Notamacropus eugenii: one gene and its partners. The protein of the gene in region 1 purifies or fractionates together with the protein of each later gene. This does not show direct contact. Links are inferred from orthologs where the notes say so. Each region holds a gene or a part of one and is shown on either strand. Other genes may lie near its edges. The genes, in order: KAT2B, MYOD1, GLI1 and TAF6L.

Region 1 (7,168 bases):
TGCTCTGCCCATTGGAGTTCCTTATAGATGTTATTTTTTTTTTTAAGGAAAGGGGAAAAAGTTAGGGGTGGGATTTGAGTATATCCAGAAATGACTATTCTAAAAACTAGAGGCACCAAACTTTAAATGTGTTTTGCCTGGTTCACTCTCAAAAAATTTAAGTCAAAATTTCCCAACTACTTCCCTCTAAGGTATCACTTCTCAAGTTGTCCCAAATTTGGTACACTATCACTGACCTAGATCTCTTCTACTAGTAGCTTGGGGTAGAGAGTTGACCAATTCACAAAGCTGGAGAAGAACTAGGGTGAAGGTCTGGAGATCTTTGCCAAGACACCATTCAAAAGAATTCTACCGGTACCCTGCAAAGCAGGTTAGTTTCTTTTTTCTAGGAGAGATATGGTAGGCTACCCTTCTTCTGAGGGGAGGAAAAAGCAGACTACAGGCTAAAATCAGTGCCTTGTTTTGCCTTCATTTGAGCCTAAAGAGGAAAATAAAAGTATCTCTCTTTCAGGAGTCTTTGATGGGTCTCCTCCCCTGCTCCTCCAATTCCCCATTCTTGATTGCTTTTCTTTCCAGACTGCCTAAGGGGCTGGTATTTTAATGGGTTCTAAGCTGTCCCTTCTGTCCTTTGTAAGCAGTGGCACTTAGAGGAGAATTAGAATCTTTTTAAGAAGTACAATAAATGACCCTTTTCTATATGCTGGACAAATCAAGGGCATTCGTGAGAATGCTGAATTATAAGAATGAGAGAAGCCCTTATAAATTCTCTTGGTTCTTTTGTGCATCTCCCTTACAGTCTAACTTGACATGGCTGGCATTTCTATCCTCACTGGCAATGTTTGAGACTGGAGGCTTCTGGAAGACAGGCTTTACGAACTGCTGAGTTGTTTGTGTTTGCTTTTTATTGCTAGCACCAAAACAGTCCCTGGAACACAGTAAGTGGGTGCTCCTAACAGTTTGAACTAAGATTCAAGCTTCAACTGGATTAAGATTCCATTTCAGTTAAGATTGTACCTAAAACTCTCTTAAGTACAATCTGAATTGAATGATGTATTCACACAGCTCTCAATCCCTCCAATGGTTTTCAACCTATCTTGACTGCCCACTACACTAGTTTTCTTCCCTGAAAAAAGTCCTAGGCAGAAAAAGAGCCAGAGAGGAAGCAGCTCTGCTCTGGAAGCCCCCTAATCAAGGTGGATTATTATTATTATTATTATTATTATTATTATTATTATTATTATTATTATTATTTTTGCAGCTACAGATCCCAGGTTCTTAAATTCCTGAGTTTTTAGTGGGGTAAGGGCCTTAGATCATCTAGTCCAACTCGCATATTTTTCATATTTGTTAATAAGGGCCACGGAGATTCCATGACTATCCAGTGAAGCTGCACAAAGTAGGCAATTGCTTGTTGATTAATAATAACTAGCAAATTCAAGACCTGAACCCAGGTCTTTCAAAACCTGGCACACACAGTGGAATTTAAAGTTTCAGACTGACTTTCAGCGTGAGGAGAAGTGATCAAAGTCTTCAAAACAGGAGACTGAAATAACGAACTGGAAAGAGAAGACAGAGAGTGATGCCCAGCACAGTTTGGCAGGAGGGCAGGGTAAACTGGGGAGAGAAGATTGGTCCAAGACAGCTGAACTCGGACATCGGAGGACTTTAAACTCCCAGAATCCCAACTCTTGACTATGTTTACCATGCAGTTGGGGAAGAGAGACGGCTAGCCTCTCAAATTAAGGTTGTTCTGTGAATACTTAAAATATGCCTGGGTTATCATTAAGATTAACAACTGTGTTCTTGGGAGGACCCAGCCCTACCATCCCACCACCAGCCCGGGCCATTCTAGGAAACTGGCCTCTGGCTCCCAAGTACCAGGCATGGGAGTGATTAACCAGAACACCCTCCCCCCACCCCCACCTGCAGCCACAGGCCCGCCTCCTTCAGCTGTCACCCTGTCAAAACAAAGACGACGGTGCCAAGGGCCACGGGCCTCCAGCAGCTCTGGGACTACGATCCCTACCCCGGGCCACATCTGGATGGAGGGGGCAGGGCAGGTCCCGGACCATCCACAGGGGCGTGGTGTGGCGCCCTCGAGAAAGGGGGCAAACACAGGAGGAGGGAAGCGACTTGTTCCAGCCAAGCCAAGCTTATCAACACGCCCAAGGGTCTACAAAGCAAACCCACCCTAATGCAAAGCTAAGGTGCGCTGGCATCCCGCTACCCAGCCCCCGAGCCCCCCAGGCTGGCAGCGGCTCCCCGCCCGGAGGAGCAGGGCAGGAGCGCACGGCGCGGCCGCTCGGCCGGGCCACTGTCTACACCGCCCACCCCTGGGGCGGCCAGTCGTCATTCCCCCCCCCCCCCCCAGCAAACATCGCCGCGGGCTTCGGCTTCTGCCCCCCCCCCCCGCGCCGTGCACGCGCGCACACACACACACACACACACACACACACACACACACACACACACACACACCGCACACACCGCACACACCACACACACGCACGCACCACGCAGGGCTCGGCTCCGACCCACCCGGAGCGGTCCTGCCGCGGGGCAGCGGGGGGAGGGGAGGGCCCGGGTGCGGGCCCCGCCATCGCCCGGGGGGGGGGCAGGGCGGGGCAGGGCAGCTCCCGCCCGGGGCGGACGCGGACGCTACCTTGCAGGCGGAGTACACGCCGAGTTTCTCCAGTTTCTTGGCCCGGGGAGCGGAGCGGAGCTGCGCCTTCTTCACCGCGATCCGGGCCGTGGAGGCGCCGCTGCCCGCCCCCGGGCTCTCGGCGGCGGCCGGCCCGGAGGAGGCGGCGGGGCCGGGGCCGGGGCCGGGGGCGGCCGCGGCGGGAGCGGCGGCGGCCGGGGAGCCCTGCGGGGGCGGCGGCGGAGGGGGCAGGGGCGCCGGCGGCGGCGGCTGGGGGGGAGGGGGCGGCGGCGGCTGCTGCCCCCCGGCCCCGCCGCCCCCGCCCCCGGCCGGCGCGGCCCCGCCGGCCTCGGACATGCCACCGCCGCGGAGCCCGGCAGGAGCAGGAGGCGGAGAGTGCTGGTGGCCGCCGCCGCCGCCAGGGTCTCCCTGGGCGCCTGTGGGCTCGGGGAGGGCGAGAGGGACCCTCCCCCTCGGGGCCTGGCCTCCCGCTCCGCTCCCTCCCCCTCGGAGTTCCCCTCCCCCTCTCCCTCCCGCCCTCCCTCCTCCCCCGCGCCCTGCGCTGCGCGGCTCCGCTGCGCTCCCCTTTGGCTCCGGGCCCGGCCGCCGCCGCCGCCGCCGCTGCCCCGGGAGGGAGGGCGCTAGCGGCCCCGCGGCCGCCTTCCCCGGGGTCTCCTCCCCGGGGCCCTACTGGGCTCCGCGCCAGCGCCCCGCAGCCGCCGCCGCTGCCGGGGACATGCTCGGCCCCGGGCCCCGGAGCGTGCGCGCGGGGGTCAGCCCGAGGCTCCGGCCGCGGCTCCTCTTCCGCTCCCCGCGGAGACGACCCGGGTCTCCCTGGGTCCCCGAGCGCCCGCGATGGGGGCGGGGCTGGGCGGGGAGCGGAAGGGTGGCGGGGCGAGGCAGGAGCCGGAGCTGGCATCCCCGGGCACCTGCCGGAGGCTTCGCCCCGCGGGCCGAGCTGGGTGCCCGGCGGCGCCTCTCCCCGCACACACGCACCCCGAGCGGGCCGGGCATCTTGCGCCGGGTCGGGGGCACCGCACAGCCGGGTGGCTCCTCCGGGCGCCAGCTTGCCCGCCCCGCGCTTCTTGTAGGAAGGCTACGAAAACTTCCTCGGCTGTTCCTAAACTGTGCCAACAGAAGGAAAAGTGCACTTTACACGAAAAAAGTTGGTCTTTTTGTCCCAGTGCCTGTCTGAAGTGGCCTTGACAGCGCCACATAGAACGCAGAGCTAAAGACTTAGTGGAACGTAGATTAAAAAATAACCTTTCAGAGCCTGTCCGTCAGGAGGGACGTGGGCGACCCTCCCGACTAAAGAGCCCAGAGAGGGCAAACCACCCGCCCAAGGACACACAGCAAAGTCAGGCGCAGAGCCACGACTACAACTTCTCTGTGTCCGTTTTTATCCGGTGACCTTTTCGCTAAACCCTCGCTGTCTGATCTTCAAGGGCTCACGATTCATTTGGGATGGAGACAGTTTTTGAAACGAGTTTTAATGGCCCTTCATTAATTAGATGGAACTGGGACATTTTATTGACTTTGCAGGTGAGCCGGTTTCTTTCCGACTTGCCTTTCCAATTTACTTTTAAAACTACTCATTATTTCTCTGGATCTTTTACAAGCACATAGTGTAGGACAGGGAATTTATATGAATATTTTAGCAGATTCTTTGCATTCCTTGAGAATTATAGCTAGTATTAATGTGGTGATTTAAGGTTTGTAGTGCGCTTTGCAAGTATTTCCATCATATCCTCTCAACAACCCTGGGAGGTGGGTGCTATTATTGTTTCCATTTTATAGATGAGGAGACTAGTGAGTCTTAACTCTGGAAAGACCACCAACTTTCCCATTTCAGCTTACTATCCTTTTCCATCCCTAACTCTTATTGTTCTTTTTTAAAGAGCTTTAAAAAAAAAAAGATTGTTTTAATAGAAAAGGAAATACCTTCCACCCCAACTTTTAAAAGGTAGTATAAAATTGCTGCCAATTAGAATGCATAATATAAGATGTTATGAAAAGTTCAAGGTTCTATTTCCTGGCTGATGTACAACACTTTACTTTTCAATGTTAACCAACTTACTGCGGTACTGAAGGCTATTGGCGTGTTCTTGTCATTCTCTGCACTGGCCATATGAAATTCTTCAGCTCACACATGGAGTAAGACTTCCTCCTATCAGGGATATGGCCAGACCACTCCAAAATCACTACAGTATTGACTCACCCTACACCTGACCAAAGTCAGTATGCATGTTTGAGGCTAGAAGCCACAGAGAAAGTTTGAGAGGCAGCCTGCTTCCAAGATAGAGAGTAGCTAAAGCTCAACAAGCCCATTTCAATCCACCCTGAAAGTCATTATGTTTGGATGGTGAATGATTTCTGACAGCTGAAAATGGATTTTCATTTTGACATATCTCGCAGCCTCAGAATGACACGTGATCGGAGGGCAAATGCCTGCAATCCAAGGCATGTAGGAAACGTATTAGGGGCTGAAGATACAGGGTGCAGCTTCTCTCCCTCATCATCATCAGTCCATAAGTAGCATTTAGGGAGTTGCCAGGTGATAAAAGCCTCTAGCCTCTATATTGAGGGCATTGGTTGAGAGCTGGAAGTTGTCATTGTCCAACCCTGCCCCATCCCCATTTTCTGGATGCTGATACTAAGGCCCAGAAATGCTAAGACACTTGCCCAAGGTCACAGGTAATGAGTTGTAGTCAGAGCTGAGGCCAGGTCCAGTGACTTCAAAGCCCAGGTTTTTTCCCCATTTGATTCAATAAACATGTTTTAAGCACGCGCTACTTATGCATTGTGCTAAGGTGTTGATCATAAATATGGAGGCTATTTGGGGCTTTCCAAAGAGCTTACAATGGGAAGAGGACAAAGTAGCCTGGTCTGGGATCAGAAAAGACCTCAAGCTTTATCTGAGTGGGAGGCCTAGCACTTGAGCTAGGCTGGGAGTGGTATTAATTCCTACTGGCAGAGGTGAAGAGGCAGTGCATTCCGGGTTTTGGGAATAGCCTGTTCAAAAGCAGGAGATAGAATATTCTGTGTGAGAAAATAGGATGGGACTATAGAGTTTTTGAGGGCAAGTGATGGGAAATCAGTGCAGAAAGATAGGCTAGAAACGGCTTACAAAAGGCTTTTCATTCCAAGCAAAAGAATTTGTATCTTCTTATATAAGGAACACGTGGAGGCTGATAGGTGCTCAATTGATAGAGCGCTGGGCCTGGAGTTAGAAACACGTGAATTCAAATCCAGCCTCGGGCGATAACTAGCTATGTGACCCTGGGCAAGTCATTTGACCTCTGTTTACCTTAATCAACTAGAAAAGAAAATAAGAAACCACTCCAATATCCCTGCCAAGAAAAGCCCAAGGACAGTGTGGTCCACAGGGTCACGAAGAATCAGAAATAACTAAACAACAACATAGGAGCACAGAGCTAGAGCTGGGGACCCTTAAAGGTCATTCCATCCAACCCTCCAGTTTATAGATGAGAAAACTGAGAGGTTAAGTGATTTGCCCAAGGTCACAAAAATAGGAAAATTCAGAGGCACGATTTGAGCTCCAGACCTGCTTCTTATCTCTGATTGTAAGAAACTGATGTTTCCTATTTATCAGTGTTGCTGAAAGAAAGAGAACATGAGTAGGAATGAGGTGTGAGCCCTTAGGTAGGAGAGGATCAGCTTCTGATGGGCCAGAGCTGCCAAACAAATGCCAACCCAGGGAGAGAAGCATTTCTCCATCTTTATAATGGGACCATAGCAAAAAGAGCTGGGGAAATCTTACAAAATTCTCTGGTCCAACCTTTTTGTTACATATGAAGACTATTGATGCTTTGAGAAGTTGAGCCTCCCCCAAGTTCACACATTTAGGAAACAGCGGTCAGAATTCCAAGTGAATCCAGTTCAAAAATTATTCTTTGACATGAAGTATAGATAATATGAATATACCCAGAGAGCAATAGATAAGTACCCCTGCCACAGCACAGCAGAGAATTAGCCTTTGAGTCAGAAAGACAAGTTCAAATTCTTCCTGTGACAGATATTAGCTGTGTGGTCATGAACAAGTCACCAACTTGTCAATGCTCCAGCATGGTATGGCGATGTCTTTCAATTCATGCGTAAATTCGATTTAAGTGAGGCAGAGTTGCACAAATTCTCAGGCCTCCCTCTCTCCTCCAGTCATTATCTTTGACTATAAATTATTGATCATTTATCACTTCTCTGAGGTAGAGGGAGTTTTCACACTGGAAGTACCACACAATAATTAAATCCCCTCCCAATAAAGGCTGTTTCCATATGAAAAGAACCTTAGCCCTGGATATCTGGATCCTAGGAGAATGCAATATCATTTGCATACCTGGTACAATGGCCTCTACTTCTTTCTTCTTTCTTTCTTTCAATCATTGAATCACATACAGATAGCCTCAATATGGAAACTGGCAACATTAACACTGAATGGGATAAAAAACTGTTTGTTTTTCCAAATTCAATTCAAAAAGCATTTATTATATGTGATGTCGGGCTCTCGGA
Region 2 (6,937 bases), on another chromosome or scaffold:
CCTTCCTCTTGTTGAAGGTTGGGGAAGTAGATAGAGAGCTGAACTTGGAGTCAGGACTTAAGTCTGTTCAAATTCTGTTTTTCTCCTTCCTTGACTGTGTGAACATGGGCAAGTCACTTCACTTAGAGAGCTCAATCTTTTCATCTGTAAAATGTAGGTACAATATAGTACCTACCTCACAGACCTGGCATGAAGTAATGCTCAGAAAACCTTAGAGCGTTTTATGTTAGCTATCATTAAAAGGCAGAGCCGGCAGGTATAAATTATCATCTTTATTCAGCACACCTGAGCAGAGACAACACCGCCCTAGTGTATAAATAGTCAATGACTGCACCACAAACCACACCTGATAAATATGTCGCTGGGTTGTGTGTGTGTGTGTGTGTGTGTGTGTGTATGCATGTGTTCGCAAAGCAAGCCCTTATTTACAGAATAGATTACAAAAGTATTACAAAATGTGGTCCTGAACTGGGGAGCATGGAAGAAGTGTGGAGGGGGCGCAGCCCCTCAAGAACAAGCACAGCCGTTCCTTCCTGAGGGGGGTGGGGAAGGGGACCAGGGACCTGGGACCAGGAACCTGTCCCCCTAAGCCCCGGCCAGGCACTCGGAAACCAATAAATTAATGTTTTAGGGAAGGGAGGAAGAGACAGAAGCACATTCCAAGGAATCCTCAGAAGCCTTAGACTTGAATAAGATGGGCCCCCTCCCAAAGTCTAGTCTGACCCCCGCTGGAGCCACAGGAAGCGGGGGAGAAGGAGGTTTGGTCCCACCTCAGAGGACCTGGTAGATAGGGTTAGGATTGGGTACAGGACTAGGCCCAGAGGTGCTGTCAGCAGAAAGCTGGGTACTCCCACTGGGGACAGGGGAGGGAATGTGGGCACCACTGTCACTCAGAGTGGTGGCCTCCTGGGGGGAGCAGGGTGTGCCCTCTCCCAAAGGCAGCACAGGGCATGTAGAACCCTCAGTGGAGATGCGCTGTACAATGCTGGAGAGGCAGTCCAGGCTGGACACAACCAGTCCTTTCCCAGTCTTGGTGTCTAAAAAAAAATGACAGAAATTAGGGATGAGTGATAAATTCTGAAGTCCAAGGATGGGATCCTGGGGAGCTCAGATATCTTTTTCCTATATACAAACCACTGCTTCTCTGTACCATGCTACCAAGATGGCAGAGGCTCAGGCATTCCCAGTGACTTGCTATTGGATCAGTTCCTTAAACTCCCTAGACTTTGTGGTTTTTTTCCTCTCTAAAATGAGGAAATTGAACCAGAACCCAATAAAAGGGTGGGTTAATCCCACCAAAAGTACACTGAATTATGGTCCTCCCCTCTCTGTTGGCAGGAGTTCAGACATAGGTACACCTGGATGGACAGTGAATTTCATATATTGTGTGTAGAGACTCAGGGGCTTGGGCTGGGGCAGAATGCCCTTGATACCCACCACTTGGAGAATCACTGTAGTAGCTGCTGTCATAGCCACCTCTATGCCTGGTGCTGCAAAGGGGGCCATTATAATCCATCTGGAGACAAGAGAGTAGATCCTGAGTCAGGTCCTGCTCCTCCTCCCAGCCCCTGCCCTCATCACATCCAGTTCACCCCAAGGCTTCAAAGAAACAGATATCCCCTCTTTCCTTCCTTCCTAAGACCCCAGGAACTGCCCCAAATTTCCTGCTGCAGAGGGTCTTGTGTGTTTCCTAGAGATGAGAGCTCAGGTAATTCATAGGAGCATTGATGTATGCCTAGCAGGCACGTTGGAGACCACCTAGCCCTACCCCTTCATTACACAGATGAGGAAAGTGATAAGTGACTTGTCCAAGGTCACACAGCTAAGTTAAGCAATAGAATAAGGATCTGAACCTAGCTCCATTCTCTCTGTAAGCCAGACTCCTTCCTCCCTGCCTCTGTCAACTGGCGTAGTCTAGAAATATCCCACCCCCAGCTCCAACACAAAATTTCTGTGTGATTTGGGCAAATTCTTATTTCTTAAATAAGATAGCTGAACTACATAATTTCTAACAACTTTTCAACCAAAAAGTTTCTTTTGTCCATAAAGGCAAGTTTTCTCCCCTACCCGGCCAGCCCATCCCCATCCAATGGTTCCTCTCCTGTGGCAACCACAGAAAGATTGCCCCAGACACCTGGGTACCAATTCATAGCTGGGGATGGGAGTTTATCCGCCTCCTTTTAGACCTAATGCTGTAATTTTCGTTCCACAATCCTTCCCATCATTCTACTGTCCCCTTCCTCTCCCTCCAGCCCTGCCCACTGGCCATACTTGTTCTGGCCCCACCAGCTCACCATGCCGTCGGAGCAGTTGGAACGAGGGCTGGATGCATCCGAATCTCCGCTGTAATGCTCAACCACGCGGGCTTGGGCAGTGGCCCCCTGAGGGTAGAAGGCAGCGGTGCTGCCAGGGGCTGCCCCGTCCTGGTCTCTAAGCAGTGCCTGAAGGCCCTCTATGTACCGGATGGCGTTCCGCAGGATCTCCACCTTGGGCAGTCGCTGGTTGGGATTACTCGACGTGCACCGCTTCAGGGTCTCAAAGGCTTCATTCACCTTGCTCAGACGGCGCCGCTCCCGCATCGTGGCCGCCTTGCGCCGGTCAGCATTGGTCGTCTTGCGTTTGCACGCCTTACAAGCCCACAGAAGGCAGCGGCCAGCCTGGTGGTGACCGCTGGGAGCCCGCACGTGCTCATCCTCCCGGGAGCCCGGGACCGCTGCGGGATGGTGGGAGTGCTCGTCAGGCTTTAGGAGCGCGCCCACGTGCACCAGGCGTGGGTCCAGGTCCTCGAAGAAGCGCAGGTCGGGGGAGTCAAAGCAGGGGTCATCGTAAAAGTCGTCAGCCGTGGTAAAGGAGCAGAGGGAGCTGTCCGGCCCTGCTAAATCCATATCCCGCAGGGGCGGGGGCAGCAACTCCATGGTCCTGCAAGGGATTCGGGGAAAGCTGCCTTCTGTGAACTGCTTTGTGTCTTCCTACCCCGTTTTCCAGCCCGACGGCAATTAGAACCACAGCCCCCTAAAGTTTCGAGACCCTGCGAAGCTTCTTTCAGTCGAAACCAGAGGGAAAGGGATCCGCACCCTAGCCTAAGGACGTGCCCTGAAAAGAAGCTGCGAAATAGCCCCCCACCCACCCCACCCTGCCCTACCTCCCTTCCACACTATCGGGAAAGAGCTGGCTCCCTCCGATGCACATGTGGGGCTCCCCCTACCCCTTGCTCCAGCCGCTGGCGCTCGAGGCTATTTATTCAGAGCCCAGGACCCAGAGCTGGGCTCTGGGAGGGGGCAGCCCTGGAAGGGGGGTAGCGGGGGACTCCCTGAGCCAATGAAAGCGGTCTGGGATGGGGGGCGGAGACCGATGGGTCCGAGGATTTGGGAAAGAAGAGACCCAAAGGGGAGGAGAGAGGAGTGTCCCGGAGCCTAGGCTGAAAGACTTCCCCTCCCCTCCGTCTCTCCCTCCCCTACCACACACTCTACCACACACTGCCCAAGAGTCAGCCCAGTTTGGCTCGGCGTCCCAGCCTCAGCTCCCTGCGCTGAGTACCCCCTCCTCCCCAACCCCCAGCGCGCTGCGCTGGGCCATGCCTTTAACTTTTTTCAGTTGCTGTGGGTCCTGGTACCACCTCCCCCAGGGGGTTCTGATTCCCTCGGGTCTCCAAGGGTCGGCATGGGAGACGTGGGTTTCAGTTTTGCTTATTAGCTGGGACCTTTGGGCATGTCCCTTCTTCTCTGGGCCTCAGGTGACCCATTTGTAAAATCGGTGCGGAGGGTGTGTAGTAATAAAGGTCCCTACGGTGCCTTTTTAGAGCGGCAGCTGGGCGTAGCTTTGCTGGGTTCACATCCCTTCTCTGCCCCGTGTCCCCTAAGCACATTTGCTAACCTTTTCGGTCCCTGTCACCTGCCTGAGCTGCCGATCAATCTGTCTATCTTTACTGGTAGCGAGCAGTTTCCTCACCAGAACGTCCTTATTACACTAACGATAAAACAGTTTCTGGAACAAGAAGGAAAAAGTTCTTTGCAGCTGTAAATCTGAGGCAGGGGCGGGGATAGAAAAGGGACGTGGGTGGGCAGGGGAGAGTTGCTTGGAGAATATTTCTGCAGCTTCCCTGGAGGTCGCCTGCATGTAGGGGGAGATAGGACTGATCTCCTGATGAAGTTACACCTTTTACGTTACCCCCGTTACAGAGGAGCAAAGAGACCGTTGCCCTAGGGAGGCAGGAAAAGGTGGCAATGGAGCCTGAGAGAGGACTTCACTCTCATTTACTTCTGGCCCTCAGACCCTGGTTCTCTGAAATAAGGGGACAGTGGGCAAAGGGCAGACAAGTCCCTCTTCTGTGCCAGGCACTGTGTTAATCGATGGGAATACAAAGGTCAGACCTCAAAGCAGCAGGTGAGTCAAGCCCCTATCCTTACCTCTTGTAGTTGGTGGGACCTGGGAAAGATTGGCATACCTCAAGTCCAAAGATGTAGGCAGATGGCCTAGGAGTGTCCTTATGTCTCTATTAAGAAAGACTGGATCCTCAGTCTCTGTACCCATCTCGGAGGCCTCTACCTCATTAAGGTAGGGAGTGCTGGGGGCAGTGCTAAACTTGGAATCAAGAAATGTAAGTTCAAATGACAGCCTTGTTACATACAGGTATATGGATTTGGACAAGTTGACTCCTCTCTGGGCCTCAGTTTGTTTTTTTGTAATATAAAAGAATTAAATTAGAATCAAAGGTTCTATAACTTGTTATAAAATATCCCAATATTTTAAAATATATTGGTATTAAATTGGTTTCCTTTTTAATCCTATGAATTCTGTTTAATGTATTTAAAAACATTATTTCCAAAAGGGGTCCAAGAATGCCAGAGGGGTCCATGATTTTTTTAAAGCTAAGAATCCCTGGACTAGATGATCTCTAATATTTCCTCTATATCCTCTGAAGCTGGGAAAGGTGGGAAACTGCATTGTTTTCCCTAGTAATTTCCCAGATTATTGTCAGACCAAAGTCATTGGTTTGTTCCTGAACCCAGCACTCCATCCCCAAAATAAATGACAAAAGAGACTCAGTGGAGGAAGGCACAACATTTGGGGGAAAGGAGGAAAATTGGGATCTTCCTCTGCCAGCCTCAAACTTTTAGAATAGGAGCACATTTAGGGTTAGGGTTAGAACCTATTCTAACTTGATTCTAAAGAGCCAACTCAAAACTGCCAGTGGTTTTAGGCAAGCCAATCTCCTTCTGGGTTTCTATTTCCTCATCTGTGAAGTTAAGAGGTTGGTAAATGGATTCATTTCAGTGCTAAGATAATAATGTGCCATTATTATCCCCATTTTACATATGAGAAAACCAAGGCTGAGAGAACTTGACTTGCTCAGAGTCACAGAACTAATGTGTAAGGCAAGATTTGAATTCAGATTTGCCTGACACCAAGTCCAACCTTTTGTCTAGTGTTCCCTCTTGCTACCTGTAATCCCAGTCTCTGTAACCTCTTCTCATCTCCTCTGATGCCCCCCACTCTGCCTTGCTTAATGTGGGGACCTCAGATCCCCAGAAGTAAAGTAGGGGAATTTCCTAATGTCCTTCTTGTTTTTACTGCTTGTTGTCCTGGGTCTGGGAAAGATACAAAGAGGAAGTCACTCTCTTCTTCCCTCTCTGCAATGTCTGAAACCTCCACCAAAGTCCTCTGAAGTTCCACTGAGGCCTGGCTTCTCTAAGACTGTGTCTCTGGAGAACAAACTCCAGCAAGTCCTACAGAATGGGAAAGGGTTCAAGTAAAGGTCTAATGACAAACTGTGTCTGCTATATAGAGACCAGCCTAGGTAAGTTTGGAAAGACTCATCACCAGAAAGTTGGCCACCAGGGGAGGAATTATTTTGCAGCCACAGAAACTAACAAAGGTGTAGAAGAACTTCTATTTATATAGGTTGGGAGATTCTCTAGACTACTGAAATTAGGAGTCCTGGAAGTATTAACATTATGTCTGGAAAACCCTGATTACACTCACCTAGGCTTAACCCTAGGACTGCCTCTGCAATGAAAACCAGGGAGCCCTGAAGAGAGAAGGAAAAGACCCTAAGACAGAGCTAAGGTGGGAGACGCAGAGTTCTAACCAGGTTGGGGCAGACAGGGCTGTGCCTTAGGATGCTAAAATTTTTAAGGCACTTCCAGCTCTTTTACTCTTTCAGAAGATAGTAACAACTGAGTTTGGCACTTAGTTATAAAGGATAATTAGTTATGACAGAAGCTAATAGGTGGCGTGATTTCTTTTCCTGGTTGCCTCATCCAGGTGAACTCTCTTACCAACACTCCCTTCCTTTTCCCCCAATGGTGTCCCCTCCATCAGTCTTGAGGTGTTCCAGAGTTTCCTCCTCCCCACATGCTAAATTGACTTTGTCTTAAAAATGCATTGATGTCAGTTATACTTCTGTCAAAGCTATACCTCCAAATGCTCTCTTGGTTTCCCCCAGTTCTGCTGCTGCAGACCCAGAAATGCTTGTCCACATGACAAGATAGAGCTGAAACTCTCCCATACATGGACTTCAGGAAACATTCAAGAATACTCGCCAGCCTTATTGCTCAATGCCTTCCTATGTTTCCACAACATTACCAAGATGGTAGTGGGGCTCTCCAGCCAGAGAAGCCAGCCAAACTGCCTTCTTGGGCACCCAAGTCTCCAGAGCCACTCCTGCTCACAGTAACCCCTAGGTCTCTGTGGAAAGCAATCTCCTCTCATAAAAAGTGGGGAGAAATGGTGAGAGTTGACCGAAGAAGTCGCTTTGATGAAAACACTAGACTCCTAGAGGTATTTCATAATATACAGAATTTGGGAGACATGGACATGAGGGTAGCCTCCCTCTACTTAACTCTCCCTCACAATGCATGGGCTGATTTTTGGGGGGGCAAGTCCTATCTCTTTGACTGATAGTTGATCACAGGTCAAGAACTCCATGTCCTCCTGA
Region 3 (7,922 bases), about 200 Mb from region 1:
CCCTACCGCCTCTGGGGTGGTGGGAGGGAGTGGGACAGAGAAGACAGTCCCAGGGGAGTCAGACACAGCCGGGAGGCAGCGGTGAAGGAAAAAGGGGAGGAGCCACAGGCGTTTTTGCTTAGGTAGTGTGCTGCCTGCCTGGGAGAAATGGAGAAGATGCCTTTTACACCCCCATCCTCCAAACCTTCATCTTGTGGGTTTGAGAGAAGAGAGGAGAAGGGATAAGAGAGATAAAGAGATAAAAGAGAAGGACAAGGAGAAGGAGAGACAGAGGCGAGGGAGGGAGCAAAAGAGAGGGAGAAAGAGAGAGACAGAGACGGGGAGAGGGAGAAAGAGACAAGAGACAGAGAGATATATTGAGAACCCATTTTCCTCGCCTGCTCCACTCACAGCTTCGGTTCACTTTGAAATCCACTCCACGTTTCTCAGACTCCCGGGGAATGAGGGTGGGGTGTGGTAGGGTGGGAAGGGGAGCTAGAGGCGTCGCGGTGGGTGATCCTGGGATGTTAGGATTTAGGCTGAGGGAGGGGGAAGATGAGGCGGGGAGCAAGAACCCCATAACTCAGCCCTGGACCCCCTCCATCCATTACGGACCATGACCCCTCCCTTGCCAGCCCCAATTCTGCTTACAAGACCCCCCACTTGACCCTGGCATTCAGTCGAAGTGGGTGGTGGGCACAGCTGGCTGGCAGCTGGATGGGGTGGGGTAGGGGGCTCTTTTCCTGACTCCTCCCCCTGTGACTCACCCGGTTGAAGGAAGCAGTTTCACAGCTCCTCCCTCCCCCGGCACCCCATCCCTCCAGACTGTAGACAGCAGCCCTCCCTGCCAAAACTGTATCCCGTCCATTCTGTTGTCATTCCTCTTTCGGTGCCCTCTGCCTGGGACTGGAAGCCATGTGGAGATGGAGAGTACCTCTCCCTTCACCCTTGGGGTATCCCTCTTCACATGGGTGTAGGGAAGAGTTCCCCAACTTTTTTAACTTCAGCAAAGTTTGCCTGGACGAAGAAGGGTCGGGGCACTTATTGGTTCCTGAGCTTCGGATCCCCACTCCCTTGATGTCCCTAATTTCCCACCCCCTTCCCTCAACCCTTGGGAGTAAGCACCGCCCCCTCCTCCGGACCCGCCTTCCCAGAGCTTCAGTCCCTCCTCGGCCCACCCAAGTTGAGGCCGCCCGACTCTGGCTGCAGACGGCTCCGCTCCCTCCTGCCCCCCCCCCCCCCCCCCGAGATCCCAGCCAAGCAGGCTGGGAGGGGGTTGGGGAGGAGGAAAGGGAGGGCGTTGAGGGGCGGGGCGCATTCCACCCTCCTCGCAGCTCCTCCGCCAGAAACCAGGCAGCGAGCCCCTGGTTGCAGTGGGGGTGTCTAAATATAGAAGCCGGGGGTCCGGTGGCAAGTGGAAAATCTCGTCAGCTGGAAGGGGTGATATGGGGACCTCACTCAGAAAGGAGAGGGAACAGGAAACTCCTAAAATTCTAGGAAAAGGAAGATGGGAGGAATAACTGTAGGAGTGGGATCAAATATGGGGGAGCAGGGAATCCCAAGCTCCTCGGTATCCCGGGTTGGTGTCCTAAGGGTTAAGCCCTCCCCCCCCGGGAACCCCCAAGTGACGTAAGGGGCGGGGCTTGGCATCCTGGCGGGGATGCCGGACCGTAAGGTAGCGTTGGTGGGGGGCGCCGAGTCCCACCTCTTGGAGAAAACCACCCGCCGCCTCTCCCCACCCACACAGGAAAATTGCCCCTGGGCCCGTTCTTCAGCTAAAGAGTACTGACCCTGGGGCCTATGCTCCACATTCCACTGTAGAGACCCCAGTCCATCCGCCCCCCAAAACCCTAGTTTCGCTTCCTTCCAGCCCCCTACGGGGCCCTCTGTCCCCCCTTCCCTAATCCGGACCAAGGAGCCAGCTGCGTGCTGAAAGATTGTTTCGGGGTCATGGGACCTGAAAGAGGCTGCAGGGCAGGCAGGGTGGTCTGGGTAGAAGGAGGGGGCTTTATATTCCCCAGGCCCTCTTTGGGCGGGGAACTGGACGGAAAGGATGAGGAATAGGTCCAAGTCCAGCCCCACAGGGGTCTCCCCGGTTTATCTTCAGCGCCCTGGTGGTCCTGAGGTCAGAGGGTAGAGGGAGAGTTTCCCCGGAGATCCTCTCTCCCCTTCCCCGACCCCTCCCCACCTCCACACTTTGAAACCCAGGAGTTCCTTTGGGAATAACGAGGGATCAAGGTCACCAGAGGTCTGGGGCCTAAACCAGACATTAGGAGCTAAAGGGACAACCCCACTGTTCTAGCTGCCCAATCCAGGAGACATTACCTCCACCCCAAACCAAACAGAAAAATTCATGTCTCATAAACAGACTGGGGTACAAACTCAGACAAACTCTTCCTCTTTTCACATATCCCCAACCCCTGCAGTTCTGGGGTTACGAGGAACCAAGACACTGCCCTCAGATTCAGTCGGATTCAGGGTACCGAGACACCTGAGACTCCTTTCCACCTCTATTCCTTCCACCTAAGATCCCTCCATCCCTATCAAATGAATGATATGAATTATTTCTAATATATGCGGACAAGAGACAAAGAGACAGAGTGATGACTGAAACAGAAAGGGACAGAAGCGGAGGAAGACAGAAGAGCCACAAACTTTCTCATCTCTCCACACCAGACAGCTCCCCCCACACTTTGCCCTGTTCCCGAGATTTCTATCACGGCGTGGGTGGTTTGAGGTGAGAGTGTCGGGGAATCCCTCTTAAACCAGTGCCCCTCTCCTTAATCCCCTCCCTCATGGCTCCCAGGTGGTCCCTGACCTGGCGGCCTTCTCACCTCCATCGGGGCTCGGGACGCGGGATGCGCAGTCCAGGGCTGGAGTCGGGGCTGGGGGGTGTGCAGTGGGGAGCTGGGGGGGTGGAGGGGGGACGGGCAGGGCCACAGCGGCGCAGCCTCAGTGCCGCCCCCGCCCCCCCAACCCGGCCCCCCCGCCCCGCCTGCCGGGCCGGGAGCCTGGACCACCCGCAAGACTCGCAAACTTTTTTTCTTTTTTGCAAAAACTTTTTTTCCTTCTAGCGCTGTTGGCGCGCTGTCCCACTCACTCCTCCCCTCCCTTCTCATTACCCTCCCTCGTGCAGTTGTGGTGAAGTAGGCTTGGGGGCTACAGGAAGGAAAGAGGGGGATGTCAAACTTGCACCCCTGGACTCCTGGAATCCTCCCCTCTTTAAGAGGTACCCTATCTCCTAACCCTCAACTAAGGCTCTGGGACTGAGCACGCTGTCCTGGGCTAGCGGAAAATCCCGGCCTGGATCTCCGGGATCGTCTGTCAGTGACAGAGATGGGCCGGAGACAGAAAAACCAAGTTGAGAGTTAGAGGAAGAAAGACTATACAGTCCCAATTGGAGAAAACTTGTGGGAATGTGGGGAGGAGGGGCTCTTAAGCAAAACTAGATCTCAGTTCTCTGCCCTGGTGTGACTACCACCCTCACCTGGCCATGCAGGAGCTGGATGGGGTAAAGGACCCCGAGGACTGGGGTAGCAAAAATGCAAGACAAGGACTTGAGTGTGTTAAAAACCATGGAAGAGGAAAAGCAGACAGAGGCTGTGGGACCGTGGGGATGGGAGACTGAAAGGCAGCAGTAAACGAGAGAGACAGAGGGAAGCTGGAAGCTTTGGGGGTCCGTGGTCGGGGCTGGGAAGGCCCGGTTTGGGTATATTTAACCCTAGCACGGCTGTTCTTCAACCCTCCCGCCCTGCTTCTCCTGTGTCCATAGGTTTTGGAGATGTCAGCCATCCTGCGGTTGTACCTTTCCCCTCCCCATTCTTCGCTGCTCCTTGCTCCCTCTGCTGGCCCCCCTGATGAACATCACCTTCTCTTAGATTGAACCTGTCTAAAGGCAGAGATGGTACGATTATGGTGGTAGTGGGGACCTTGGGAGGGAGGGACAGTGAAAGAAGTTCTCTGTACTCCCCAACGCCAGTATTGTGGGAGCCAAAGGTGTATGAGTATACCAAGAAAAAGTGAGAGATGGGGACATAAATGGATACATGGACTCGGGAAAAGCAGTCAGAAATAAGTAAAGGGTTCTGTGTATTGGAAGGAAGACTGCCCTTGTCCCCTGTCCCTCAATGTCCTGATGCCATGGTGACAGGATGCAGGGGAAAGGTCAGCTATTTCAGTCTCTGATGTGTAATGGGGGAGGGGAGAAGAGTGATTTGTGAGGGGGGGTTTTAAGGGGAGGGAAACAAGGTCATGACCAGGAAACTGGAGAATGCCCCTTTCTAATTATTTTGCCCAGTTCTCTTATCCTCCTCAAGTCACCATTCTCCTCCCTTCCTTGTATTTTGGAACATCCTCCAAAGTACTTCTGGGGGAGTGGAGAGGAAGGGTCAGTGGATCAACGGTTTGTTTGGGGGAATAACATAAGAACAAAGGTAGAGCTAGTGAGAAGTTGGGGGCATGTTGTGTTAACACTGAGTTGTTAACATGAGTTATGTTAACATGAGATGTTAAATTACTAGGGAACAAGAGGAGATGAGGAGCCAGGGGTAAGATCTTCCACCTCCCTCCCCCACTTGGCATCGACCAAATGTCCAGCCACTTCCAGAGGGTCAGGGACATAGATCAGCCTGGTCCAACTGATAGTCACTTGGTACAAAGAAACCCGCACGTGGTTCTTTTCCAGACACATCCACATGTCCTTGCCCTGTGGAGCATTTTACCATTAGAACACACTCCCCCTCCACATCCCAGTCCTCGAGTTTTCCCCTAAACCCTGTATCAAGACACACACCTGTGACTTTTTTCTTTTCATTTTTATTAGGAAAATATAAATATGTGTTCATCTCCCCAGCAGGACCTCACCTCTGGCAAAACTAGAGGGTGTTCCTTTATGGGGCTCATCAGCTTCTCCAAGCTCCTATCTAAGTTCATCCCATATTCTCCCTGGGCCCATCTCCCTCTTAGCAGTTCCCACAAAGCACCAACCCCTTTTCTAGCATGTACCTCCACCATACCACACTCTCCCATGCCCTATTTACCCCACCCTCTCATCGATTTGCCAGGAAGTTCTATCTCTCTTAGAAGGCACTGAGCAACTTTTCTGACCCCTCCCTCCCCACCCCTTAACCATCTCTTCTATGGAGTGTTCAGAGTAGGAATCCTCTTCTAATAAGAACCAAGCAGAGGAATGCCCTACCCATCTCCCCATTCTCCAACCAGTCTGAAACTGGACTCTAAAGTCCCAGGTTGGACTCATCAGGATTTGCCCATGGGGCCGCACTGCCAGGTCACCTGGGGAGGGGATGTCAGGAATTCAACCGCCTCAGCCATTGACCTGCTGACCCCTTTCTTCAGTGGACCAACACTATTCACACTCTCTCTAGCTCTGAATCCTTTGAACCTCCTTGCTAGCTGCAGCCACAGGCTTCCACTACCATATCAGGTACATCGGTCTTCACTACATTACCACTTTGGTCAAGATAGAGGAGGGAGAGTGGCCGACGGGCTGTGGGAACACAGCAAGAAGGGCCAGATGGCCAGGGACTATTTGCTTTGAGAAGGTTGAAGACAGCAGAATGGAAAGAAGCAGTAATGCCTGGGCTGCCAGCCAGGTGAGGCGGGCACTGTCCACTACAATAATTTAGCTGGTACCCCTCAGGCTTCAAGATCCAATCTTTCCAGCCCAATTCCTGGAAGTCTACATAGTGGTCCCGCTTGCAGCATAGAAGGCTCCCAGGTTCACATGTGGGGGCCCTCCTCTTGGCCCGGTCCCCCCCAGGTGCTCTGGCTTGGGTCCTAATCACCAGGAAGGGTTGATGGTGTCCAGCTGTATCCAGAAGTAAGTGTCTGGCAGCTGTGGTATTGCCTACATGAGGCCTGCAGACCAGCTTGAATTTCAGAACACCAGAGCCAGTGCCCTCCAGTGCCCAAGAAGGCAGGGTAAGGGCATTCCATCCTGGAGTGGTCTTTCCATGCTCAGCCAGCAGGGTTTGACTTCCCTGGACCCCTTTCTCCAAACCCCACTGGAAGATTTGTATGGAGGGGGTACCAGCTAGGGTGGAATGCAGATGCAGCCAAAGACGGATGTGGTATGGACGTAGGTGCAAAGGAGTGGAGAGGTTGAAGTTGAGGATAGATCCACAGGCTGGAGTGGAGGAAGAGCCTATGGAAAAATAGTGGTGGTTCATGAATAATGTGAGAGGCCTAGGTCTTTGGGTGGAAGTTCTTGTCAAATCCTGACAGATTCCTTTTTTTCTATACTAACTTAAGAGATAAAGTCCTCAGAACATCAGCTTCCAACCCCACCTCTCCCACCACATCCCTCTTTTGGCTGTATTCTTCTTGTCTCTGTCTCTCTTTGGGTCTTTCCCTGATTTGCTTTTCCTCTCTTTCACCCACCTGTTTCTGCTGCAAAACTGATGGTCTCCAGCTGGTTCATCTGAGCCATCTTCTTAGACTGTAGTCTCCTTAAGGCTCTGGCCAGGACTGCAGGGTGGGGAGGATGGGGTATGCTTGGACGGCTGGTCAGTTGTAGCCCCTCTAAGATCTGTTGCTTGGCCAGCTCCAGAACTAGAGCCCTCTCTTCCTGTGGTTTTAGTGTGGGTAACCCACATGATGGGCACCGAGGTCCTGATCTCTGAGCCCCTGCTAGTGCCCATAGCAGTACCAGTAGGAGCCAGGCATCTGGGTACCCCATTCTCCCTGTGTCTATCCTAGGGAAACCTACCCCCTGCAGAAAGGAGAGTCAGATGTCTCCTATTCTTGTACCCTGGAAACAAACAAAAAAAAACCCCAAAACAAAAATCTGACTGATGAAAAGTGGGGTATTCAGAGTTGTCTGCCTGGTCGATCCACTCAGCTTACTGACCCAGGGCCTCTTTTGAGCTGGTAGCCTGGGGCTCTCCCACCTAGTGGTCAATGGGCAGACCCACCTTCTGAGCACCAGGATTGGCCAGTTCTTCTGTCAATCAGGTCCCTAGTGGGGGGGGAGTGGAGGATCCCCCACCCTTTCCAGAGCTCATGTTTCACCAATCTGGCTGCGGTGACAGGCTTGGGGAAGGGGTATGTGGGGGTGGGGTGGGGGGAGACGTGGACAGGAATGATGCAAGAAAGAGGATGATTTCACAGACTCCGATCCCAGGGTCCAGGGGAGAGGAAGGGGGAGGGTGATGTGAGCCATGTGAGCCAGGTAAAGGAGCGAAGGCCCCTATATACAGTCGTCTCCAATGTCTTCCACTTTGAGCTTTCCCAGTTTCCTCTACAGCAGTTTAACTTAACAGAGAGTAGACTATTGAGACTTCAGTGTCTCCTACTTTGAGGGGCCTGTCCAAAAAGGGAATCCAGGATTCCATCTCCCAAACATTGAACCTGAAGGCTGGAAGTTCAGCAACAACAGAGCTCTCAAGGCCAGGCCTAGGTGGCAGGTGCCACGGGGTACCTAGAAGTCACCCCTTGTCCCCTATGTGTGCTGGCTGCTCAGAGTCCAATTGGATGTGAATACATTGTGGGGGAGGGAGAGAACTGGTGGTGAGGTGTGTTAGTGGGATGAATGGGGAAACCCAGAGGTAGGGGCAGGGGAGGGTGATGCAATTGTGGAGTTCGGGCAGAGTCCATCACGACTGCCAGAAGGGCATGGCACTTCGGAGGGCCTGGTGCCCAGCCTTGAACTGGGCACTGCAACTTGATCTAACCTCTTTTAAGGTGATGGGAAGAGCCTGGATTTGTTAGTGTACTAAAGCAGCCTCTCTTTGCTAACACCTCTCAGTTTTTAGGTTGGGGTATGAGAAAGGGAGGCTGGAACTTTGGAGTGCAATAACTGGGGTCCGAGCCCAGCTCTGCCAATCATTTTCCTCCTAGTTTTAGACAGCATGGGCTTAGTAGGAGAGGAATAAGCATCTGCCCATCTCCCCTCACTCTACTATGACCCCCCCCAACAACTTAAG
Region 4 (7,920 bases), on another chromosome or scaffold:
CTTATTTTAACCCTTAGAGAGGACAGTACCCTAGGAATTCAATACTTTTAGTTGACTGAATGATGCTGGCTTAATACAGAAAGCAGAGCAGCACAAGGGAAGAAACCCTGATTTAGGAGTCTGAGAGGCCTGGATGTGAATCCTGTTTCAGTCATTTCCTTCCTTGTCCTGCATGGGGAAGTCAGGCAGTCTATCCGTCTGGTAAGTACGTGACCTCTCTGACCCTCAGCTGGGGATCACAAGGTCTGGAGAAACTCCTCTAAGTCCGCATAGATGACCAGCAGCCCATCAAGCATGGAGGCCAACCGCCAATGGAGCAGAGTGTCTTAACTGGGTAATGCTGCAGTCTTAGATTTGTACTGATTGTGTAAAATAACATTTCAATCTGGTTCAGGTAGCACTCTGGGAGTCTTGTCAGACACCTCCAACACATAGCATTTGCAAATCTTGAGATGCCTAAATGTTGATTACCATGAGGACATCTTCTTGGAGAAAAGAGTCAGGGAGCCTCGGCTCTGAGCCCACCTCTGACAAATCCTGGCAGCGGACACTTAGAGTACTCTCTAAAAATGCAAAGGAGACAGCTCTGGTTCATCAAGGGTTCAAAGGTCCAGGCCCTGACCTGACCATTATTCCAGGATATAGTAGGTAGGTCAGAGTGGTCAGAGAGCCAGCCCTGGGGGCCAGGAGCACCTGGCTTCAGAGGCTGCCGGCAGAAGTGGCAACCACCCATGCCTCAGTTTCCCTTCCTTTCCACAGTCTGTCACCTTTCCTCCACCAAAGCTGCTCTCTCCAAGGGGTGATCTCATTGCCAATGACCTTTTCTCAGCCCTCATTCTTCTTGACTTCACTGTGGCCATGGACGACCCTCCTCCTAGACATGTCTTCTCTCTGGGTGTTCTGAAACCCCACCCCCACCCCCAGTCTCCTCCTCCCCTTCCGATTGTCCCTTCTTTGTCTCCTTTGCTGAATCCTCCTCCAGGCCACGATGCAATCTTCCAGTGTCTCAACCTGGATGTCCAGTAGACATCTTATCTTCCCTGCAAGCCTCCCTCCCACAACTCAGAGGTCATCTTGGACCCCACTCTCTCTCACCCACCATGCTCAACATGTCATCTTTCCAACATCTCTCAAATCTACTCCCTTCTCTCCCCTGACTGCCCCCACCCTGGTGTAGAACCTCATCACCTCACAGTGGCACTGCAATAGCAGCTGGGGTGGGAGCAGAGTGTGGTGGGGAGGGTCTGCCTGCCTCAAGCCTCTCCCCACTCCAGCCCATCTTCCATTCAGCCACCAAAGGGATTTTCCTAAGACCCAGGTCTGACCATGTTACGCCCTACTCAGTAAACCATGATAGCGCCCTATGGCCTCCAGGATCAAATACAAATGCTCAATTTGGCCTTCAAAGCCCTTCCTAACCTGCCCCCTCCTGCCCTTCTGGACTTATATACCTGATTTCCTCCACATTCTCCATGATCTGGGGAGCCCAGCCTCCACTCCATCTCTCAGCTCCTTTTCTCTCACTGCCCCCATGGCTCCAAGGCTTCTCCTCATCTGTTCTGACCACTGACTTCCTTTTGTGGGCTAATCATGTCTGACCCTTTGGGGTCTTTGTTTGCCACATTCTTCTCCAGCTCATTTTACAGGTGAGGAAACTGAGGTAAACAGGGTGAAGTGACTTATCCAGGGTCATACAGTTAGTACGTATCTGAGGCAGGAATTCCTGACTGCAGACCCTATCCACTGCGCCACTTGGGTGCCCACTGACCTCCCTGGCTTCCTCTGCCTTGAGGGCAGGGCCTGTCTCCAGCCTCTTTCTATATCCCCAGTGCTTATCACAGTCCCTGGTGCAGGGGAGGCGCTTAACACGCCTGGCTGCCCAGGTGAGTCAGGGCAAGTAGCTTAATTTCTCAGGCTCCCAAGGAGGTGTAGGCCTGCACTGGTGGAAAGGCTGCACTGGGGCATTAGTGACAATCTTCCCAGGAAAAGAAGTGGGGACAAATCTTCCCTGGACAAGCAGTTCCTGGGACACCACCGCCCCCCACGCAGGCCACGAGCAGCCCCTTCCCTTTGGGCGGGCTCATATGGGGAGGGGGGAGGAAGGCTGGAAGGGTCCTGACCCCCACAATGACCCTCTAGGATGTTCCCTAGGCCAGGGGATGATGCCCAGCTACCCACACCCATGAGAGGCTGAGCACCTAGGAACAATTAACTAAGTAGAAATGGTTTCTGCACCCTTGCCCACGCCTGGTCTGATCTTTTCTGTACAGTCTCTCTTGGTCCCGAGTGGGATCGGAGCCAAGGCTGGGACCCCGCCCCCCACAATCCTCCTGGCCAAACTCCGGGTCAGCTTGGGGTCCACTGGGACACCCCATTCATTCTCAGGCAGGCTGCAAGTCAGCCGTGCCTAGGCCACTGGAGGGAGGGCCTGGGTTCGAATCCACCCGTGGACCCCAGACGGCAGCTCCTTGGAGCCTCCCCCAATGATCCCCATTTCACAAGCGAGGAAACTGAGGCAGGGACGGATGAAGCGATCGGCCAGGATGGCCTGGCTGCCAGGGTCTGAGGCTCGAACTCAGTTCTTCCTGACTCCCGGCCGAGCGCTCTGTGCATCGTGACGCCCCCTGGCGGCCACGGGTAAGTCCTTTCAACTGCCTGGGCCTCAGTTTCCCCATCTGTAAAATAAGAGGCGTGGAGATGATGACCTCGGAGGTCCCGCCCAATTCTCAAGCTGAGCCCACGAAAGGCGCCGGCGGCCGAGCCGAAACCTCTGACCCCAGGGTCAGGAGGCGGAGCCAGACGAGGTCAATACTCCCAAGGCCTGTGGTCCCCAGCGGAGGTGAGGGAGGTGGTGAGACCCCGGCCCGACCAAGTTCGGAGGCCCCGCGCTGAGCGCGGCGCGGCCCCGGCGAGACTTACCCCAGAGCGGCAGCGGCGGCTCCGGCTCCGGCTCCCTCGCCTAGTCTCAATTCCCTCGCACTGAGGCCGGCCCCGCCCTCCCCCGCTCCCGGCCAATCCGCGGGCGGCGCTCCCAAGCCCCGCCTCAGGACATGTTCACAGGGAAAGAGCCATGTTGCCGGGAAGTGTCACGTGACGCCAGCCCCTTAAAGGGCCCTCTGCGGTTTTCTTCCGGACTTTCTTCCCGGAGGGGCCAAATCCTCCCGGCCGCCGTTGGCCTCGCTAGGGTTAATCCAGATCCACCCTAAATTCAGCCCGCCCATGTGCTCACTTTTTAGAAGGCTGTTTTTACCCTCCTGCAGCCCTTTCCCCGCCCCGGGACCTCGCCTTTCTAGTTCAGTGCAATTCGGTGATTGTTACTGCTGTGTGTCTGGCAGGGTGCCCTCAAAGAGCTCACGTCCCGGGGTGCGGGGGGGGGGGGGGGCGGTCGCAGGGACGGACAGCGTGCAAACGAAGGTGTAGGGATCTACACAGAAGGCTTCCTGGAGGAGGAGGGATTTTAGTTGGGACTTAAGGAAGCCTGGGAGGTCAGAGCAGAGGGAGGAGAGTGGTCCAGGCCTGGGGGGAGGGGCGGAGCACAGAGGGGGAGCGTCTCTTGCTGCAGAGAGAAAGCAGACCGGAAAAGGAGGAGGGGGCTCGGCCGGAGGGGTTTTGAAGGCCAAGCAGCATTTTGTATTTCATGCTGGAGGCCGTAGGGAGGCGCTGGAGTTTATTGAAGAGGGGGTGATGTGGTCAGAGCTACCCGTTAGGGAGATCCCATTGGTGGCTGAATGGAGGATAGGCTGGAGGGGGGACAGACTTGAGAAAGGGGGCATCTCCCCCCAAGTGACTATTGGAGTAGCCTAGGTGTGAAGGGATGAGGATCTGTGATAGGGTGGGGCAGGGTCAGAGGAGAGGAGGGGGCCTATAAGAAAGATTCTTCAGAGGTGAAATCTACAAGAGATGTTGCAAAGGTGAAATTGACAGGCCTTGGCTTCAGTTGGGCTACAGGGGTGTCTAGGTTGGGAAGAGAGAGTCCAGGATGACCCCTAAGTTGTGAGCCTTGAGGAACTGGGAGGGGAGTATTGCTCTCTACAGTAATGGAGGGGAGGAGGAGTGTTTAGGGGAAAAGATGATGAGTTTGATTTTGGACATGTTGAGTTTAAGGTGTGTACTGGACATCCAGATTGAAATGGAGTCCAGCCTCAGTTCCTACCCTTAATATTTATTTAAAATCTTGCATGGGTCTTCATTAAATGAAAACGAACTGTACTATAAGGAGGGCAGGAGGAACTGCCAGTGAGGATATCTACACATCCCATCCTTATATCCCTCCCCCCCTTACAGTTCTCTCCTCTTCCTAAAAGGGGTATCTGTCGTATTGCCTCAAAGAAGGACTTTGATAAGGGCTTTTTTTTTTTCATTTTTTAGAACAACGTCTGTGGCATAGGTATGAACTACTTGTAAATCCTATCCGAACTAATAATTTTTTTCCTTTGGCAGTTCATTATGACTTAGTTTCTCTCTGAGAGTGTATCATTTTACACCTTTTTTTCTTTTGTTGTTGGTTTCTGTTTTTTACATTTTCAGAGACTCTTCAACCTCCCTAGAAGGTTCTGTTTTGCTGGTATAAAATTTTATGTATTTCTGGAAAGTCTCTCTGGTAGCCTTTGAAGAGCATTTTCAGTGGAATCGTGGAGCATGAATCCTGACTGCAAGAGGCTGAGGATTTTTTCTAGAAATTTAGCTGTGAATGAAAAAAGACAAATTGGACGATACCTTGGGGAATGGCCTCGACCTGTGAAGGCATCTTAAGGATGTAGGCATGGCTGTAGGCTGCAGGGAAGGAGGCAATACATAAGGAGAGATGAAATATGAAGAAGGATCTGAGAGACCAGGGCCTGGAGATGATGGGAAGGGGTGGTGTCCTTAGACACTATCACAAGAGTGAGGGAAAACATAGAAGGCCTTTTCGGTGTGGAATAGGAAAAAGGTCTTTGCAGTCACTTTCTAGTTTCTCAGGCAAGCAAGAGGCAAAGAAGCTTGCCTTGAGAGGGAGGGGACAGAAGGCTGTATTTTTGTTGATTTGAGAAGAGAATGTTTGGACCAGTTACTGTAGAGAGTGTGATAAGAGTCCAATAGAAAAGAATTAAAAATCTGTCCAGTGGAGGCCCTAGTTACCTGAGTCCCTCAGCAGTGTTTAGTAGCTTACAAGTGGCACAAGGCAACCTGAGGAATGGTAGGTAAGCCACGGGCTAAGTTTAGGAAGAAATGAGTATTACCAGGATAAAGGATAAAGGAAAGGGTTCATAGGTAGAAGGTGGTGTTGTGGAAAGGACACAGTAGAGTCTCAGATTTGTAAATTAAAATGAAGTCTTAAGTGCTGGAGATACAAAGAAAGGCAAAGACAGTCCCTGTCCTCAGAGAGTTTAAAATCTAATGGAGGAGACAACATATAAACAATATTGACAAACAAGCTTTATATAGGTTAAATAGGAAATATCCAACAGATGGAAGACTAGAATTCAGAGGGATTGAAAATGGAGTTTCTGGATGAGGAATAACTAGGAGGTTGGTTGTTGTTGTGTTTGCTTTCCGTTCTCAAAGAGGACCATGACATCAAGTTGATGATATGACTTGCAGTTGGCTTTGATTTAAGTGAGGGAGGACTGTGCAAGGTCACCAACCTGACTTTCTTCTCTTGAGCCATTTAGGTCCAGTGGCCTGATTGGAGATGGACCAGGATGCAATGTGAGACCTTGGCCCTTTCAGGCTAAGGTCTTACCACGTTCTCACTTTGAGTAGATACACCCATTCAATGAATAGGTTTCTTTAAGTAGTTACTAAAGAGATGGCCTCTTTAATAAAAAAAAAAAATCAAACTGGGAGGGAAGGACCCTCAGGGTTCCTGCATAAAAGAGAAACAGTAATTACATTCACCCTGTGCTAGGTGGGTTTGGGGACTTGTCCAGCCTGTGAGTTCCAGAGTGAATTGGGTTTAAGGTTTGATCTTTGAGCAAGAAATGTAGCCAGTAAACCCAAAGGAAAAAAAGGTAGCTTTTGGGCATGGAAGGAGGTTGGTGTCACTGGATCAAAGAATACTATAAGGTATAAGAAGACTGGAAAGGTTTGGGGGTCGGGGACCTCAGTTTGAAAGATGTTTGAATATTACAATATATATCATTATATCTTTTGTTTTTTATATCACCTACATTTTCCACTGTTCCTCTCCTCACACCACTCAAAGAACCATGTTAGCAAGTATCCTTTTTAAAAATTTGACTTTGAATTTGAACCCCAATAAAGTACATTTTCATACATACAGCAGAATACAAAAAGAGGCTTCAGTGTGAACCTGTGAATCTATTTCATAATGCTGGCTATGGAAGAAGCATATCATCAGTTCTACACATTCATTTTGAAAACGACCTGTTGACTTGTGTTCCCTTCTGAACATCCTTGAGTTTTCTGTTGTGAATTTTTTAAAAAAGTTACAATGCTCCTCTCCTTTTAGCATCTCCATAGTTGGGTACCCTTCCCCCCATTATACCACCTAGTTAAGAGCCAAGAGAAAGAGGAAGAAAAACAAACCCTTTTTAAACAAAGAACCGCCAAGTCAAATATCCTCCCTTAACATATGCTTCATTCTATGTCTGTGTCCCTCCCCTCTTCGTCAGGAGAGGGTATCCTATTTATCACAAGGCCTCCGGAGACGTAACATTGCACTGAGCAAAGTCTTCGGGGTTCAGGTGGTTTTCTTTAGTGTGGTTGTCATTGTATACATTGTTCTGGCAGTTCCAAAAATCCAGAATTTTCTGTCATTTCTTTTAGCCCAATAGATTCCATTCCATTCATGTTTCAGTTGGTCCAGACAACCCCTTGTTGTCTCAGAGATGATCTAAGGAATCCCCTTGAGGGCCAGTTAGTTTTTCTTCCCTTTTCAGTCCCATCTCCAGGATCAGGACATTTTTTTGCCTGTGACTCTTCTTTTCCCAGTATCCCATCTCCTCTCTGATGCCTCCCACTTGTTTCTCAGAGGATCTTGGTGTCTGTACCAAACTCTTACCAGTATCCCTGATGCCTACTCACTCTATCCCTGTTGATTCTTGGTTTCACTTCCCCCAATTATAGCAATATATCCTTTCTTTTTTCTCTGAGTGAATCCCTCCTTTGACACTCCCTTTTCTTTCCCCTCTTTAGACCCTTAGAACAAATCCATTCCAGTTCCAAGATTTCTTGTTGTTCTTACTGAATTCCCTTAAGGCCCCTTGAAAGACATTAAGGCTCTATTGAGGTCAATAGCCCCAAAGAGATCTAAGAAAGAAGAAAAGGACCCACGGATACAAATATATTTATAGCAGCTCTTTCTGTGGTGGCAAGGAATTGGAAGCTGAGAGATGCCCATTCATTGGGTGTGGGTAAACAAAATATGGCCTACAAATGATGCCATCACACCTGAGAAGTGATGAAGAGGTGAGAAGCTTGGGAAGATCCACATGAATTCGTATGATGTGGATGATGCACAGGGAACAGACAAAGAATGACTTCAACAAGTTTAAGGAAGATCTTGACCAGTGAGCTGCAGATGAGTGGAGGAGCAGCTGGTCTTGGAAAGGTGGCCAGGAAGGCTGTGGAAGCCAGCTCGCATGAAGAACTGGGAGAGGGAAGGATTAAGATGAAGGGAAGCATCATGGATGGCTGGACAGAGGTCAAGGGGAAGAAGGAGGATAAGGTGGGGGGAGGTAGTTTGGGCTTTGGAAGATGATATGTTCAGAATCGCTGGGACATGAGAGGTGTGACCAGGTGCAAGCATGTTTGTCATCCACTCCTGTTCCCTCAAAAGACAGGCAAAGCAGATGGGAGGGTTGCCCTTTGCCAGGCACCTCCTCCACATCCTGGTGCTGGTATGAGTGCTGCTTTGGGACAGATGGAAGACACCTGGCAGGGCCCTTCCACAGGGACACACAGCAGCCAGCAAGGAAT

The links.
Region 2: the proteins of KAT2B (region 1) and MYOD1 purify together in Homo sapiens (affinity purification with western blotting; 4 studies listed by BioGRID and IntAct, with this or other methods). This does not show direct contact. The link is inferred for Notamacropus eugenii from reciprocal best matches to the Homo sapiens genes KAT2B and MYOD1.
Region 3: the proteins of KAT2B (region 1) and GLI1 purify together in Homo sapiens (affinity purification with western blotting; 3 studies listed by BioGRID). This does not show direct contact. The link is inferred for Notamacropus eugenii from reciprocal best matches to the Homo sapiens genes KAT2B and GLI1.
Region 4: the proteins of KAT2B (region 1) and TAF6L purify together in Homo sapiens (affinity purification with mass spectrometry; 5 studies listed by BioGRID and IntAct, counting the BioPlex papers as one, with this or other methods). This does not show direct contact. The link is inferred for Notamacropus eugenii from reciprocal best matches to the Homo sapiens genes KAT2B and TAF6L.

What each region holds. Positions count from the first base shown.
Region 1 is NC_092874.1:34,104,277-34,111,444, forward strand, and holds the start of KAT2B (histone acetyltransferase KAT2B), read right to left. Parts: upstream 3,014-7,168; 5' UTR 2,999-3,013; coding exon 2,663-2,998; intron 1-2,662. UniProt on the Homo sapiens protein: Functions as a histone acetyltransferase (HAT) to promote transcriptional activation. Has significant histone acetyltransferase activity with core histones (H3 and H4), and also with nucleosome core particles.
Region 2 is NC_092877.1:41,184,740-41,191,676, reverse strand, and holds MYOD1 (myoblast determination protein 1), read right to left. Parts: upstream 3,006-6,937; 5' UTR 2,916-3,005; coding exon 2,295-2,915; intron 1,517-2,294; coding exon 1,438-1,516; intron 1,038-1,437; coding exon 772-1,037; 3' UTR 258-771; downstream 1-257. UniProt on the Homo sapiens protein: Acts as a transcriptional activator that promotes transcription of muscle-specific target genes and plays a role in muscle differentiation. Together with MYF5 and MYOG, co-occupies muscle-specific gene promoter core region during myogenesis.
Region 3 is NC_092874.1:232,839,146-232,847,067, reverse strand, and holds the start of GLI1 (zinc finger protein GLI1), read right to left. Parts: upstream 3,014-7,922; 5' UTR 2,798-3,013; intron 1,062-2,797; exon of another isoform or gene 747-1,061; intron 1-746. Other genes in the region: INHBE (inhibin beta E chain), read right to left, coding at 5,388-6,142, 6,379-6,676. UniProt on the Homo sapiens protein: Acts as a transcriptional activator. Binds to the DNA consensus sequence 5'-GACCACCCA-3'. Regulates the transcription of specific genes during normal development.
Region 4 is NC_092873.1:15,843,230-15,851,149, reverse strand, and holds the start of TAF6L (TAF6-like RNA polymerase II p300/CBP-associated factor-associated factor 65 kDa subunit 6L), read right to left. Parts: upstream 3,004-7,920; 5' UTR 2,920-3,003; intron 1-2,919. UniProt on the Homo sapiens protein: Functions as a component of the PCAF complex. The PCAF complex is capable of efficiently acetylating histones in a nucleosomal context. The PCAF complex could be considered as the human version of the yeast SAGA complex.